4 linked regions of the Ovis aries genome follow. The protein of the gene in region 3 interacts with the protein of the main gene of each other region in a pairwise test. Links are inferred from orthologs where the notes say so. Each region holds a gene or a part of one and is shown on either strand. Other genes may lie near its edges.

Region 1 (3,562 bases), on a different chromosome or scaffold from region 3:
TATGGCAGAGACAAGTCTAGTGAGGTTCCAGGCAAATGGTGCTCAGTTTGCTGATATCAACCATATTGTAATCATTTTAATTAGAGCTGCAGTACATGAATAGTACTAGCCAGGCTAGTAGAACCATATATGTGGTAAATCGCCAAAAAACAGAGTAGGAATGAGTGGTACAGGCATTTCCTAAATTAACGAGTGTTTATAGGGCCTGCTGTTCATTTTTTGCAAACATTTTTGACTGTAACCTAAGGTGAGAAACTATAGAGTTTACATTATAATTCTGTGTGTGTGTGTACTGCTGCTGCTGCTACTTCAGTCGTGTCCGACTCTGTGCCACCCCATAGACGACAGCCCACCAGGCTCCCCCCGTGCCTGGGATTCTCAAGGCAAGAACACTGGAGTGGGTTGCCATTTCCTTCTGCAATGCATGAAAGTGAAAAGTGAAAGTGAAGTCTCTCAGTCGTGTCCGACTCTTAGCGACCCCATGGACTGTAGCCCACCAGGCTCCTCCATCCATGGGACTTTCCAGGCAAGAGTACTGGAGTGGGGTGCCGTTGCCTTCTCCGTGTGTGTAAAATCTGGAATAAAGCTTTCATGAAACAATATAATATGCTGTACACTCTAGCCTTTTTAAACATTATATTTCATATTTCAAAAGATGTTAGGGTGACCCCCAAATTAATTTTATGAGTCACTTGACTTAAAACATCTTTGAAAACCACTATTTCTAAGATAACCAAGTCACTAAGAACTATGGGGGGCTGGTGGTGAGGGGAAAGCAAAAGTGAAGTCTGAATACCTGACTTACAGGGTTATTAAGAGGAGAAAGAATATACAAGTAGGTGGTATCCTAAGTGAGAAGATAAATTTTAACCTTTGGTGTTAATGACTTGACTGACAGTGAAATGAAAGGGACTAAAAAACATAAATACTATTTGGGTAAACAAAAGAATCTCTGCTGGTATAAACATAGTAGTTTTAATATTAGAAGGACATAATGGTTATTAAGATTGTGTCATCTAATATTTATTATAAAAAGAACCGCTCAGTACTAAAAGGGATTTGGAATTCATCTGATTCAAGGAAACCCAGGTGTTATTCACATTTCCAGATGAGTAGATGAAGCCAAGAGAGGGTAAAGGACTGGCCAGTTGGAGTGGGTGCCGGGCAGAGTGCCCTTCAGGTCTTCTGTGACAGTACATTTTCACACTACTTCTCCAAACAACTACTTCCCCCAGTTTTAACCTGTTGTGCAATTTTCTGTTTACAGGAAGATATTCCTCGTCAGCTCGTCTACATCGGCCTTTACCTCTTTCACATTGCTGGAGCTTATCTTTTAAAGTGAGTTGGGATTTTTCTTGGGTGTGCTTGTGGACTGGGCAGATAATATGCTGCTGCTGCTGCTGCTGCTGCTAAGTCACTTCAGTCGTGTCCGACTCTGTGCGACCCCATAGATGGCAGCCCACCAGGCTCCCCCGTCCCTGGGATTCTCCAGGCAAGAACACTGGAGTGGGTACTCTGTCTTAATTCGTAATTAATCTTTTCATTTTAAATGTGTTCTTTTAACAGCTTGAATCATCTAGGACTTGTGCTTTTGGTGCTACACTATTTTGTTGAGTTTCTTTTCCACATTTCCCGCCTATTTTACTTTAGTGATGAAAAGTATCAGAAAGGGTGAGTCTTTCAACCATTCTGTTTCTTGTGTAAAGTCAGTGCCTGTGTTGCAAAGGACCATGCTATTGCCAAGGTCCATGCTATGGGCAATAATGTTGCTTTAGAAGCTACTTTAAATAAAATGACACTTTTTAACAATTGAAGTTGGTATTTTGTACTCTAAAATAGTCTTTCTTAGCTTGAGAGATAGTATATTGGAACTTGCAGTTTTGAAGGTTGGGGGTTTGCTTTTCTCACACAACTTTTCCTATCTTGTTTAGTGCACATTCTTCTTTTGGAGAAGGAATAATGAGGAAAAGTGAGCTTTCAGAAGAAATTGAAATAGTAGATTATAGAACCTTAAAGATACAAAAATATTTTGATGGGAAAATTAAACTTGGATAGCATTGAAGTAATATGTATTGTAAAGAGCCTTGCAGGGAGAAAAAGTGAAGCGAGGCCTCTCATGAGAATTGAATACATGGCCTTTGTTTTTATTCAGCCTTTTCCAGAATTGTTCTATATACCAGTAGTTGTGAGAATCATTAATAGTTGTCAAACGCATACACAGAAAATCAGCTAAATGGGAAAAAAATCAAATATTTCTTTAACTGAACTTCAAGAACCTGAAATATGCTCATATGTTATACAATCTCCAAGAATGTGATATAATATGAAGCATTTCCCTAGCATTTTATTTCAGAATCCTTTTTGCAGAACTGTAAGAAATGCTGTTTTAATACACATTTACCTAACAGGAATCTGATTTCTACTCGAATCTTATCTTTGCAATTTTGTGAATCTGACTTTGACATTTTTTTCACAGATTTTCTCTGTGGGCAGTTCTGTTTGTTTTGGGAAGACTTCTGACTTTAATTCTCTCGGTACTCACTGTTGGCTTTGGCCTGGCAAGAGCAGAGAACCAGAAGCTGGATTTCAGTACTGGAAACTTCAATGTGTTAGCTGTTAGGTAGGGTTGATTTAACATTTTTCTTACCTTGCCCTACAATGTAGTATGTATTATCAATTTAAAATATGAATTGTCTAAAATATAAAGGTATAATTATGAGAGGTAGGGGAAAATACTCATTTGATTTGATTTCATACCTATTGTAATTTCATGTATAAATTAAAGTATCAATACTAAAGCATTTAGATACAAATAAACTTACAAAATAGAGACTCACAGACTTAGAAAAGGAACTTATGGTTACCATGGGGAGGGGATAATTAGGGAGTTGGGGATGGGCATTGTACACTCTGCTGTATTTTAAATGGATAACCAACAAGGGCCTACTGTATAGCACAGGGAACTCTGCTTAATGTTCTGTGCCAGCCTGGCTTGGGAGAAGGATTTGAGGGAGAATGGATACATGTATATGTATGACTGTGTCCCTTTTCTGTTCACCTGAAACTACCACATTTTAATTGGCTATACCCCAATAAAAAGTTTGAAAAAAAATTACAAAAGCATTTATTTAACTTCAGGGGCTAATTACTGTGCTCAGTCACTTTAGTCATGTCCAACTCTTTGTGACCCTGTAGACTATAGCTAGCCAGGCTCCTCTGTCCATGGCATTCTCCAGGCAAGAATACTGAAGTGAGTTGCCATGCCCTCCTCCAAGGGATCTTCCCAACCCAGGGATCGAACCTGGATCTCTTGTATCTCCTTCATTGGCAGGTGGATTCTTTACCACTAAGCCACCTGGGGTTATTAGTGGGGTAATTATTCATTAATATAATCCTTGTCAATATAGTGGGAATTTAGTGCTAAGTTAATACTGTCAAAGCAAGAGAGACTACTTTATTCAATGGCATTGCTTGGGTACACATTAATTTTCTGTTTATTTCTTTGTATTCTCAGAATTGCTGTTCTGGCGTCCATTTGCATTACCCAAGCGTTCATGATGTG
Region 2 (4,354 bases), on a different chromosome or scaffold from region 3:
CAGGCCAGAATCCTGGAGTGGGTAGCCTATTCCTTCTCCAGCAGTCCTTCCCAACCCAGGGATTGAATCCAGGTCTTCCGCATTGCAGGCAGATTCTTTACAAACTGAACCCCCAGGGAAGCCCAAACCACTATATTAAAAAAAATATTGCAATGGTCTTTTTAAAATACTGCTTAGCTGTAATCTAGCCGCATGTCTAAGTCAGTTTCTTAAGTTTTTAGGTAACAGATTACACTTTCAGTGAGGTAGCAGTTCCTTATTATATACATCTTATTTGACTATAATGCTTAGCAGCTGAAAGTCCCACGCTCAGAAATATCTCTTCTACTCTACACATTTCACCAAATTAATTTGATTAACAAACTCTTTTAAAATGGTTTTCTTAAGAAACTTAAGGTCCATGGGTAGAACAACATAGGAGTGGGGGATGATGGTAGCAGAAAAACTCAAGATTAAAAAACGAATTATGTGGGACTTACACAAAGTACACGTAAATCTTGTAACAAAAATGTTAATATGTTTGTAGAAACTGGTGTTCTCCTTTACAACGCCAGCTTTGGGTTGCTTATCCATTTACTCCAAAGAAGCTGCCCTTCTTCTCTTCCTGGCGCCTTGGTGGCACAATCAACCCCCTTTCACTTACAGACGGAGCCGAAAGGGGGAAATGAGAGAGCTCCATTTTCTCAAACTTTTCTCGGGCACTTAGCATGTGCACTTAGCCTGTGCTCTGGGCTCAAACGAGTGACTGGGTGGACAAGTAGCTACACTACAGTGTGACTCAAGTTCAGGACAAAAGAGGAACTGATTAACTCGATCCGCACAAGTGTCGGAAACGTCTTCACAGAGGAGACCACTTCTCAAGAATTTCGAGGCTGCGGGCAGGGAGGACAGGAGGGAACCACAAGCTGGGGGAGGGGCAAAGCAATTTCCTTGACAGGGGAACACAGTGTCAGGACCAAGTGGCCAAGGGTCGGCCTCGGGAAGCAACTTGGTGGAGCATCTTGCATCGTAAGAGACTGGTTACACGGCTAGGTGAACTTAACTCGGGAACTCAAAGCCCCCTTCGGTGACGCCCCACGGCAGGGAACCATCGGGTTCCAAGGGCCGCGGGACCCGCGAACCGGGCAGCCCCGGTGTAAGCCGCGATCCGGGGGAGCCGCTCACGTCCCTTCCCCGGCGCCGGACGCGCGCGCGGCTCGGAGTCGCCGTGAGGGGTTGGCGCTGACTGCGTCCTTGGGTACCGAGCCTGGCCGGGCGGGCGCCTCCCGGGAGAGGACAGTGTCACCCGGGCGCCCGCAGAGGGCCGGCCACCGGGACCGCGGCGGTTATTCCCGACATGCTCCTCTCGGGGAGGATTTCAAACCTTCGGCCACAGCCAACTCCCCTCCCTCGGCCCCGTCGGGCCCCAGCAACAGGCGGTGGCCCGCGTATCATTGGCCGGGTCGCGCGAAAGCGTGTTTTGATTGGCCGCAGCGCCTCCCGGCCCCGCTTCAGCGCTCGCCGCCGCCTCCATTTTGTCGGTAGAGACAGGAGGAGGAGGTCGGTTGAGACGTTGAGGTGGCCAGCCGCTCGCTCGTCGGTGCTCGTGGGCTTCGCCCGTTCCGTGCCTCGTCTCTCCCTGGAAGGGGAGGGGGGCTTCGAAGCCGAGCAGAAGCCGCCGCCGCCGCAGTCCCGGGCTTGAAGTCGGTGAGTGGCGGCGGCGCGACGGGTGCGGCCATGTTGGCGGCGGCGCTCCCTATTGTTGGGGGAAGGAGGCGAGATCCGAGGCTGGGGGGGCGCGGGCGGCCCGGAGGAGCGGGTTCCCGGGCCGGGCTCGAGGGACGCGGAGCGCCTGGGAAGCCCAACCTCGTTGCGGAAGACCCGAACTTTCCGGGCTCGCTTTGGGAATGACTCAGGGTCTGGAAACTTAAATTTCTTTAGGGCGTTGAAACAGTCTGGAAGGGCCTCTCACCCTTTCGATAAGAGCTTCTTGCTTGGTAACTTGGCTTCTTGGACTATCAAGTGGAATCGCAGATGTTTAATGTTTATAATAGTGATTGTTTTATGTATTTAAGATGGGAAACTGCTTGTTATGGCTTGTGAAACTTATTTTAAAACGGGGAGGAGTCAAGAGTTCATAACCAAAGGAAGCGCTGCGTGACGTAAACATGTTGGGAGAGGAGGCTCTGCTAAAACAGATACGTGATGTGTCTAAAGATTGTAAAATTCTGGTGGGACTTTAAAACACGGTCTTTAGGAAACAAATTTCTTAGCACATTTCTTAGCATGACTGTAGAGGCTAACGTTTCCATGGTTTTACAACATTTTGGTCACTAAATCCATGTGAGACATTATTTTCTGCCTTTTTGTTAAGTAGCCATTCTTTAAATTTTTTCTGGAGTAAATATAAACGATCACTTTCTCTGTTTTTTTAATTGAAATAATGAAGAAATCGTTGCTTTTGTAGCTAAGACTTCTCTCAAACTTGTGTGCTGAGGAGACTCAGATGTTGGCCTCAGCTCCTAGGCTGAACTCAGCAGATCGGCCCATGAAAACTTCTGTATTGAGACAAAGGAAAGGATCTGTCAGAAAGCAACATCTATTATCCTGGGCGTGGCAGCAAGGAAGAGGACAGGTAGTGGAAATCCTGCAATCGGAAAAGCAGACTGAAAGGTATTAAAAACTTACGGTTGTAATGGGGCAGACATTTTATGATGGACTCATTCTAAACCAGGATCTTCCCTGGTGGCTCAGACGGTAAAGCGTCTGCCTACAATGCTGGAGACCTGGGTTCAATCCCTAGGTCGGGAAGGTCTCCTGGAGAAGGAAATGGCAACCCATTCCAGTATTCTAGCCTGGAAAATCCCATGGACGGAGCAACCTGGTTAGGCTACAGTCCATGGGGTCACAAAGAGTCAGACACGACTGAGCGACTTCACTCACTCATTCTAAACTAGAGCTTCCCAGGGGACTCCATGATAAAGAATCCACCCGCCAATGCAGGAGGCCCGGGTTAGATCCCTGGGTCAGGAAGATCGCCTGGTGGAGGGAATGGAAACCCACTCCAGTGTTCTTTGCTGGAGAATTCCATGGACCGACAAGCCTGGCAGGCTTTTCCCATGGGATTGGAAAAGGTCGGATATGACTGAGCATGCACACGGGCACATCCTAAACAAATTGTTTTTAAATGCAGTATTATTTAGATTTGTTGGTAGACTCATTTTTTTCTTAGGAAGGTAATAAAGGCTGTACAAGTGTGAACGTATAGTAAAGCTAAAGCAGCTGAATAGCACATACGTGAGTCTTCTTCGAGATATTTGGAGTTGCAAATTGGGGCCACTGAAGTTTTGTACTGGAATTTCACTCAGTATTTTGTTTCCACTCACAGGTGACAAAGAAGCTGAAGATGGGTGGTGGAGAGAGGTATAACATTCCAGCCCCTCAAACTAGAAATGTTAGTAAGAACCAACAACAGCTTAGTAGACAGAAGACCAAGGATCAGAATTCCCAGATGAAGATTGTTCACAAGAAAAAGGAAAGAGGACATACTTATAATTCGTCATCAGCTGCATGGCAGGCCATGCAAAATGGGGGGAAGAACAAAAATTTTCCAAACAATCAAAACTGGAACTCTAGCTTATCAAGTCCCACCTTACTTTTTAAGTCTCAAACTAATCAGAACTATGCCGGGGCCAAGTTTAGTGAGCCACCATCACCAAGTGTTCTTCCTAAACCACCAAGCCACTGGGTTCCTGTCTCCTTTAATCCTTCTGATAAAGAAATAATGACATTTCAACTTAAAACCTTACTTAAAGTACAGGTATAAAATGAGATAAAGTACTAACATTTAAGCTTAGTCATATTTAAGGATAACTGGCAATTGTTTCAGACCAAATTCACTAGGGAATTAATCTGTAAAACTGATTAACATAGAAAATATAATTAGACTTCATCTTGTTTTATGTGCACTGTGATGGTAGGAATCAGTACAGTTTAAAATAACTGAATTATGGATAATTGTATTTGATCTCTTCACTAGTATTCTCAATTGAGTAACCATATAAGTGAAACCATTCAAGTTTAGATTTGGGGAATGGTAAAGGAATCAACTTTTTATATTGCTTGTTGGGGGAAAATACTGGAGATTATCATTTCATGGGTCAGCAGATTGACTTATTAAGATATGGTAAATCTGATTATAATCATCCAGTTAAAGACATACAGGGGTTGAAAACTATTTGAATCTTTGAGACGTTATTGTCCTAGAGACACCTGAATCAGTACACCTAAACCAGTAGTATGACAACCTGATGCACTGCCTAAAGAAAATGTGAAAAAAAATTTTTTTAAGAGAATAGTATTTTAATGAACTGTA
Region 3 (4,120 bases):
GCCTGGCATGCTGCAGTCCATGGGGTCGCAAAGAATCGGACATGACTGAGCGACTGAACTGAACTGAACTGTCCTGCTCTATGTGGAAATTAATCTCAGACAATTTGCATATTCAAATTACTTTACAGGCTAACTCGCAAGTGTAGAGAAGATGGAAGGCAATCCTGTGTGTGCATGTGTGTGTATTCAGTCATGTCTGATTTTTTTGTGACCCCATGGATAGTAGCCCACCAGACTCCTCTGTCCATGGGATTTACCAGGTAAGAATACTGGAATGGGTTTCCATATCCCTCTCCAGGGGATCTTCCTGATCCAGGGATCAAACTCCTGCATTGGCAGGCAGATTCTTTACCACTGAACCACATGAGGATGACCATTAAGAGCCTTTATTTTCAAAATGTTTTCAAGCATGGGCTATGAGGATTTTGATTTTCTTTCCTAAGCTGATTTTGAGATGCATGGGTTGCCCTACAGATGTCAACATGCACTTGGGGATTCTAGAAGGCCTAGGAACAAGACAGACCTCTCTTACCTGTCCTCCACCATCCTCACTTGCAGAAAACCAGCCTCCTTCAGATTTGAGTAGAAAAAGCTAACGTGCTTTTAAAAGATCCTTTAAAATACATATTACGTGGGCAAATGAAAAAGTAAACATCCCTCAAACTCTTAAATGGCTGGACGAAAAGCCAGATGGGCCATGGGACGATCAGATGGCAGAGGAACGGCTTCAGAGGCAGAGAGAAGTTAACCTCAGCAGGACACTGAAGTCAAGAACCTAACTGATCAGGGACCAGCAGTGCAAAGCTGTCAAGCCAATGTTGAATGAGAAAGTTACCAAAATGCTCACTGAACATGCATCCTTATTCCTGCTCTGAGCTGTAACAAAATTTATGTGCCCAGTGAATGTTTGATTATTATTTTTCCAACCCCAAATGCCTGTCTAGACTTTAACCTTTATTAGTAGTGAAGAGAAAGTGAGCTGGTATTCATAAAAAAAGAAAAAATATTCAGGCAGATTAACAGATGACTTATACCCTTGTGAAATGTCTGTCTTGACCCAAGTGGTAGGACAGTGAGAATCAGGCCTGGTGTGGAGAAAGAAAGGCCACCCCCTCCTCTATTTTGTACAGAAGACTTTTCCACTCCTAGTCAAATGGTGGTGCTAGTTCTTTAGTTTTGAGTTTTCTGCATTTCCTAATTTCATGGTCATAACAGCCGCTTGTCTACTGCCTCAGAACGGATTTCACCAAAACTGAAAATAAAGGCTCCATGCTCAGAAGTTCCTTAACGGACTCGAAAGGTTAATGTTCCTTTCCCTTGCCCTTCTATAGCGTAAGAAGACAGTCTTTCAGTGACATTCTCCTCCTCAAGCAGGTACTCCTATTTCTTCTTCTCAGCATATATGTATATATATACTTTTTTCTTTTTGTTATATGTGCTACTATTTACAAATGTGATGTAACTTTACAGCTTCCCTCTCCTGTGAAAAGATGTTCATTTTTCTCTTAATGCTCCAGGGATATTTTGCAAAGTTGCTGGCAAGCATTAGTATGACGTTGAAATGTTAAGTCTAAACTTGGTACAGTGAAAAATCCACTTTTCAAATAATATTCAGCTGAGTCAGAGGGCAACCCGACTACCCTTTGCTTAGCACTGCACTGACAGGCTGTCTGCTTGCTCCAGATAACGCCTATTTATTTGATCCAGCTCTAGCTAGGAGGTTTTGGATTATTGAAATGTGGCAGAATTTCAAGAATTATTAATTGGACTGATCACGGGCTAGCATGAACACACTACCTGTTTTCATCATCTCTGGGTGCCGTAACTTCTGTGAGTTGAAACTGAGCAATCTGAATAAGCCATTACTTGTTTCCTGAAGGCAGTCAAGTTTTCTGAAAAGCTACGCCATCTAGCAGTCCAAAAGTCAGCCACCCTGTCTTTAAATTGCCCTGTGATTTCAGGGCAAGTTCTCTTGGGTCTTTCTGCCTCAGTTTGCTCTCCTGTGGAAGAAAGCTCCTGGACACTTTTTACAGGGGGTTGGTGTGTACATAAGTGTCTCCCCGCACCGCAGAGTGCTACTTAAATAATGATGTGGCAGTCACAAAAGACAGGGCAGCGTACTTTCATTTTGGTTAGAGGCATGCCACAGGGTTCAGGAAATGCGCAGTACGTTCTAAGTTCTGTGCTGTGCTAAGAGGGTAACCAGTCTTCGCTCTCTCAGACATGCCCATAGTAGCCAACATAATCAAAAAAAAAAAAAAAATCTTAACGTAAGGATTGAGCTTTATCAGGACTTGGGATCATGGCACTGATTTCTGTTCAAAGAAGCCAGATTTTTTATTGGCTTTCTGGGCCAGATATAACAGACTTGCAAAGTAACTCCATGCACAAGATTGCTGGGAAACTCACCTGGTTTTGAATATTATACACACACACACACACACACACACACACACATATATGTTTGTTTATCTCACTTCTATGATGTATATATGGTGTATATATTAATGTTGAAAGTGAATTTATGAATATGAGGTTGCAGTGTTTGAATTTTATCTTAAAATACCCCGAGAGACGAAATGAAATTAGATGAATACTTATGAGATGTAGGCTTCAGAACCTGTTTCTACTCTATATAAGCCTTTCCTATTTCTCCAAAGCAAATGTTTGCTCCAATTTTGTTAACATCCTATGAAGATTGCCCACTAGGATTTAATGCACGTGACTATACTATTCTAGTGGTTAGATATAACACTGTACAGGGTATTAGGTTTCAAATAAATTGGGAATAAAAATAACATAATCCTTAGAGACAACAACATGGAGGGAAAAAAAGCAAAAATTTTGAATATGAATGTAAGTGCCTTATTTCCTAGCTGGATATTTTTTCTTAGACTCTTGGAGATATTTGTTTTGTTTTATGGCAATGACAGTTGAGGAAAGGGATTAAAGCTTATGTTCTCAAAATTGCAGCAAGAACGAAGTCAAACAGTTATCTTTCATTTCAATTAACTCTGTATCTTTCATTCAGCTTAGGATTTAGAGTTATCGAATCTCTTCCTTTCTGCTAACACCCACTCTCAACCTCTATACGATGTAAATATTTGCACTGCAGTTCTGCTAAACATTCTCATCTGGTTTTCTGTGGCTTCTCTCAGTATTTGTCCATATTCATTTAGTCCGGTTGATCAGTACAACCGCCAAGACTCAGGGCCTGGTGCCTAGGGTTTAGTTTGCCCAAAACAGAGAACAGAACTTGTTCATGGTTGCAGGTTGTACAAAGATTAGTAGGCAAGAATAGAGTGACCCCCAGCTCTGAGTAAATTATCGATATTGGTTGTAAAATATTCATAGCTTAAGTTTCCCTCATAGCGGTTGAGAAATGGTCCTGCCCATTCATGTCCATCATGGCTGTGTCTGTCCTTAATCCCACTGTTGCGCTCCCTGCACAGAGTGTAATCCACTGCTAGTTTTAGAGCAAGGTACTTGTATGTGTTAGTTGCTCAATCGTATCCGACACTTTGTGACCCCATGGACTGTAGCCCGCCAGGCTCCTCTGTCCATGGGATTCTCCAGGCAAGAATATTGGAGTGGATTGCCATACCCTTCTCCAGAGGATCTTCCCAATGCAGGGACTGAACCCTGGTCTCCTGCACTGTAGGAAGATTCTTTACCATTTGAGCTATAGGGAAGTCTTAGCAGGTGGCTTTTGATGAAGGTGATGGTGAGGAAGGTGATCTTGCCTTCTAGGCACCAATTCAGTTGACTCCCTCTGGTTTATTTCCACTGGACCCTGACAAAACCTTGCACATCAGTGAGTTTATGATTCTTTCTAAGGAGTGTAAATTTTTTTTCTTTCTCACTCTGAGACAGAGTCAGGATGCCGAGGCTTGCGTTATCCCTGTGTGCATGCTAAGTTGCTTCAGTTGTGTCCAACTCTATGAGACTCTATGGACTGTGGCCCACCAGGCTCCTCTGTCCATGGGATTCTCCAGGCAAGAATATTTGAGTAGGTTGCCATGCCTTTCCTCAGGGATCTTCCTGGCTCAGGGATTGAACCCGCATCTCTTAATATCTCCTGCATTGGCAGGCAGATTCTCTACCACTAGCGCCACCTAGG
Region 4 (4,275 bases), on a different chromosome or scaffold from region 3:
AAGATGTCTAAACACAGGTTCAGTCATTGTTGGATCTTGATGCAAATAAAACAATTGTAAAAAGACATTTTGTGAGAACTGGGAAAATTTGATTATGGATTTAAGTGTTCGACAATACCAAGAAGTAAGAATTTTGTTAGAGATGTTAATGGCATAGTGGTTACCTGCAACTTTGGGGAGATGCCTATCCAGCAGGTAGAGGTAAAATGATACGATGTTGGGATTTGCTTTACAAGCGTTCAGCAAAGAAAATAAAAGGATCAATAAAGTACATGAGACAAAACAGTGATACTGCTGAGTGCAAAGCAATGCACCCTTTTACCTTGAAATATATTGACAAACTGCATTGGAGCAAGCTGTTTTGGTTTTCATCTCCACTAGATCACGTCTGAGCCTGCTCATTTCACCCAAACCTTCCCACCGTCATGGACTTATTTTTCCAGCATTAATTAACATGACAAAGATAAACTGACTTATCATTGGACCCTGTGTTAGCACTTACTAACTTGTGCATATGAGCGACTTTCAGTATGTTTTTGCGTACAGGAAAAACCTGCTTAGTTTCCTCCCCAATTAAAAAAAAAAAGTATTTCTGTTTTCCTAAGTTTGTATTGATCAGTAATACGTATTTGGGTAGTAAATTTCTGTCAACACATGTTACAGTGACTTCCGCAGTTTACCGTATCGTTTTCAGCTTGGTTTATGAAGTCTTCTGCGGACAAACAGCTCAATATTTTCCGTGCTCTGGCTTTGCTGTAATGATAAGAAACTCTTCCCCAGTCTTCAGGATTATACAGTGTTATGGTTTCATTTGTTATATTTACATTTTTAATCCACCTGGAATGTATTCATGTTCTAGGCCAGTTTCTGGCTCTTCTCCCAGAAAACAACTATCAGGTGTTGCTTAGCAACCTCCACTCGGGTTAGAGTTCGGCTTCTTTTAGTGGGGAAAAAACAGCTGCACTCCTTTCAGAGTTGATTGCCACCTTAAAGCGTTGCCTAGTAACCCCGTTTTAGACGTTGTGATTGGACCCTTCACACGACCCACCCACCCCCATCCCCCAAGAACCAGTAAGAACTTAACTAGAAACCTAATCTGTCTTTTTAGGAAAACAAGGGCAGCGTATGCGTTGCATAGCAACCAGGTCTCCCGGCCCTTCCATTGAAACCGGTGTCGGAAAGGTCGCCCCCCCCTCAAAAATGGCGTCTGACGCGCCGCTTTCAGTATATTTCGCCCTCGAAAGTTCTGCAAATAATTCAAGCTTCCACCTCTGGTCCCCGAAGGAGTTCTCTAGGTCCTTTTTGAGTCTTGCACACACTGGGAGCGAAGGAGGATGGAGATAAACCCACCCGCCCCGGGCGCCCCGCACAAACATGGCCGCCAGCGCGCCGCCAGCGCCGAGAGGCCGTCCCGCGCGGGGGCGCGCGCGGCGCAGGCGCACTTCCGCTCAGCCCGCGGTGTCTGAGGCGGCGGCGGCAGCGGCGGTGGCGGCGGTGGCGGCGACGGCGGCATCTGCGGCGCGGGGCATGGTCCCCGGGTCGGAGGGCCCGGCCCGCGCCGGGGGCCTCGTGGCTGACGTGGTGTTTGTAATTGAGGGCACGGCCAATCTGGGGCCCTACTTCGAGGGGCTCCGCAAGCACTACCTGCTCCCGGCCATAGAGTGAGTGCCGTTTCCGCGGCCCCAACCCCGCCCTCCGAGTTTAGTTTTCCACACTCTCTCCTCACCCCGACCTTTCACTTCCGACCCTCACAGGTATTTTAATGGCGGCCCTCCTGCCGAGACGGACTTCGGCGGAGACGTGAGTCTTGGAACTCTCGAGTTTGAGGGAAGATGGGAGTCCGGACTGGGTCTGCGGGAGGAGGGGGCGGTACCTGAACCCTGGGCCCGAGGTGGGAGGGCTCGGGTCCGGACTCCGGGGTCGGAGGCGGGAGGGGCTGGGGTTTGGACACCTGGGTCCGAGGGGCTGGGGTCGGGATTTGCGGGTCCGAGCGGGGAGGAGCTGGGGTCTGGACTCTGGTTTCCAGGAGAATGGGGCTCGGGTTCTGGGGCTGAGGGAGGAGGGACTGGGGTCCGGACTAATGGGTCCGAGAGGGGAGGAGGCTCAGGTCTTGGGTCCGAGGCGGGAAGGGCTCGGGTCCTGGGTCTGAGGTGGGAGTACCGGGGTCCGGACCCCCGGGTCCGAGGGAGGAGGGGCTGGGAGCTCCGATTCCCCTGAGGGAAAAAGGAGCTGGGTCCCAGATGAAAAGTTCTCCTGTCCTCCCCTCCCAGTATGGGGGCACCCAGTACAGCCTCGTGGTGTTCAACACGGTGGACTGCGCTCCAGAGTCCTACGTACAATGTCACGCTCCCACCAGCAGCGCCTATGAGTTTGTCACCTGGCTCGATGGCATTAAGTGAGCTCTTTTCTCGGCTTCCGGAAGGGTTGGGGGAACCTGGGAGGGACGGCAGAGGAATGGTGCTGCCGGATCCAGCCCCTCACATTGGTTGCTAAAAAGGGCTGCGATGGGGGTTGTGGTTTTGTCCCTAGGTCACTTCAGTGGTCGGTTCTGTATGCTCAGCTGGTGTTGCTGTCTGGCTTGGAAGTAGAAAGAATTTCCTGGTCAAGGAGGCCTGGGGAAGTCCAGCACCCGTCCTACTCCTCATATATTATTCTCCTTTCTGTCTGTTGCTTCTCTTGTCTACTCTAGCCCTTCTTTTTCCTACTAGGGGCACTGAAGCTTGAGCGCAAGAGGGGTGGGGCTAAGCCTCTGTGCTTTGGAGTCAATGTTGATAGTTCACACTGCAGGTGCAGACAGCCTGGGGCCACTTTTCAGCTCTACCACAACAGGACTGCCAGACCCACGAGTCCCTGTCCTCTGTGTCTAATAGAACTCATCTCTAAAAGGGGAACGGTAATAGTACTTATAGTCATCCTGTTACTTATCCAGTGTTGGGAAAACAGATTAAAGCTTAGTGACTTGGAAATTCTCTGATGGTCCAGCAGTTGGGACTCTGTGCTTCCACTGCAAGGGACATGGGTCTGATCCTTGGTGGGGAAACTAAGATCCCACATGCTGAGGGGCACAGCCAAAAAAAAAAAAAAAAATTAATTTAGTGGCTTGTTTCCTTAAGTAAGGAATTCAGGGGTGGCTTTGATGGATGGTTCTCACTCACGGTCTCTTGTGGGATTTCAGTCAGATGAGCTGGGACCGCAGTCATCCAACTGTTGGATCGGGACCAGAGGATCCATTTCCAAGGTGGCTAACCCTGTGGCTGTTGGCCAGAGGCCAACTTGCTAGCTGTTCCTTGCTAGCTGTTATTCCTAAGATATCTCTCCATGGGGCTGCTTGAGTGTCCTCCCAACATGGCAGTTGGCCTTCCTCAGCCTGAGCAATCCAACAGAAAGAGCAGAAGGAGACTACAAAGATTTTTATAATCAAATCTTAGAAGTCACACCATCATTTGTGTCACATTCTGTTTAGTATACAAGTCAGTTCTGTTCAGTGTTGGAGGGGGCATGAATACCAGGAGATGGTGCTCAGTGGAGATCTAGTTCCGGTGACACTATAGGGGACTTTGGGAATCAAACGAGTTGATGACTGTTGAGAACAGTGCCTGACACGATTAAGCGCTCCCTCAGCTTTTGCTGTTCTTTTGTGTTTTGGTTTCTTGGTCTGCAGAGGGATAACGGTAGTCCATATCAGCACTCAGAGAAGGGTCACAGAAGCTAATCTTCATACTGTGTTCAGCTCAGGGTCTGGTCAGAGTCCATTAAACAACCGGATTCGTGGGCTGCTGTTATCTGCAGCAAATGTTTGTTGAACACTTGGTTTGTTTCAGGCTTCACGTGCTAGACCAGGCACTGCACATTCACTTTCCCCCCTTATGGTTGTTAGAATTCATGGTCAGGGCAGAGCAGGGTTTCTCAACCTCAGCACTGTTGACCCTTTGGGCCAGATGATTATTGTATGTGTGTTGTGGAGGGGTGGGGGGCATTCCTGTGTGTTGTAAGGAGTTCAGTAGCATCCTTGGCTCCTTCCCCCCCAATGCCAGTGGTCTCCTCCCTCCCCAGTGTGATAAACAATAAAAACAAAGATGTCTCCAGACATTGTCAGATGTCCCTTTGGGGACAGAATCCGCCCCAGTCGAGAACCTCTGGAACAGATTGTGGTGAGACTTGAATAATGTGGAATGGGGGCTCCTTGAGGTTCAAGTCCAAGTCTGATGTCCCTCAAGTTTCTAGCACCCAGCACAGGGCCTGGCATGAAAGAGCCCCAAGGAAAACTTTGTGGAA

What was found.
Region 1: the proteins of ESR1 (region 3) and TRAM1 interact in a two-hybrid assay, tested with the Homo sapiens proteins (2 studies listed by BioGRID). The link is inferred for Ovis aries from reciprocal best matches to the Homo sapiens genes ESR1 and TRAM1.
Region 2: the proteins of ESR1 (region 3) and PNRC2 interact in a two-hybrid assay, tested with the Homo sapiens proteins (2 studies listed by BioGRID and IntAct). The link is inferred for Ovis aries from reciprocal best matches to the Homo sapiens genes ESR1 and PNRC2.
Region 4: the proteins of ESR1 (region 3) and MED25 interact in a two-hybrid assay, tested with the Homo sapiens proteins (2 studies listed by BioGRID). The link is inferred for Ovis aries from reciprocal best matches to the Homo sapiens genes ESR1 and MED25.

Annotation. Positions count from the first base shown.
Region 1 is NC_056062.1:47,245,960-47,249,521, reverse strand, and holds part of TRAM1 (translocating chain-associated membrane protein 1), read left to right. Parts: intron 1-1,267; coding exon 1,268-1,338; intron 1,339-1,566; coding exon 1,567-1,671; intron 1,672-2,476; coding exon 2,477-2,620; intron 2,621-3,514; coding exon 3,515-3,562. UniProt on the Homo sapiens protein: Involved in the translocation of nascent protein chains into or through the endoplasmic reticulum (ER) membrane by facilitating the proper chain positioning at the SEC61 channel.
Region 2 is NC_056055.1:242,693,135-242,697,488, reverse strand, and holds the start of PNRC2 (proline-rich nuclear receptor coactivator 2), read left to right. Parts: upstream 1-1,516; 5' UTR 1,517-1,686; intron 1,687-2,446; 5' UTR 2,447-2,652; intron 2,653-3,367; 5' UTR 3,368-3,385; coding exon 3,386-3,805; 3' UTR 3,806-4,354. UniProt on the Homo sapiens protein: Involved in nonsense-mediated mRNA decay (NMD) by acting as a bridge between the mRNA decapping complex and the NMD machinery. May act by targeting the NMD machinery to the P-body and recruiting the decapping machinery to aberrant mRNAs.
Region 3 is NC_056061.1:76,487,655-76,491,774, forward strand, and holds the start of ESR1 (estrogen receptor), read left to right. Parts: upstream 1-1,275; 5' UTR 1,276-1,374; intron 1,375-4,120.
Region 4 is NC_056067.1:55,910,263-55,914,537, forward strand, and holds the start of MED25 (mediator of RNA polymerase II transcription subunit 25), read left to right. Parts: upstream 1-1,432; 5' UTR 1,433-1,527; coding exon 1,528-1,661; intron 1,662-1,754; coding exon 1,755-1,800; intron 1,801-2,270; coding exon 2,271-2,395; intron 2,396-4,275. UniProt on the Homo sapiens protein: Component of the Mediator complex, a coactivator involved in the regulated transcription of nearly all RNA polymerase II-dependent genes.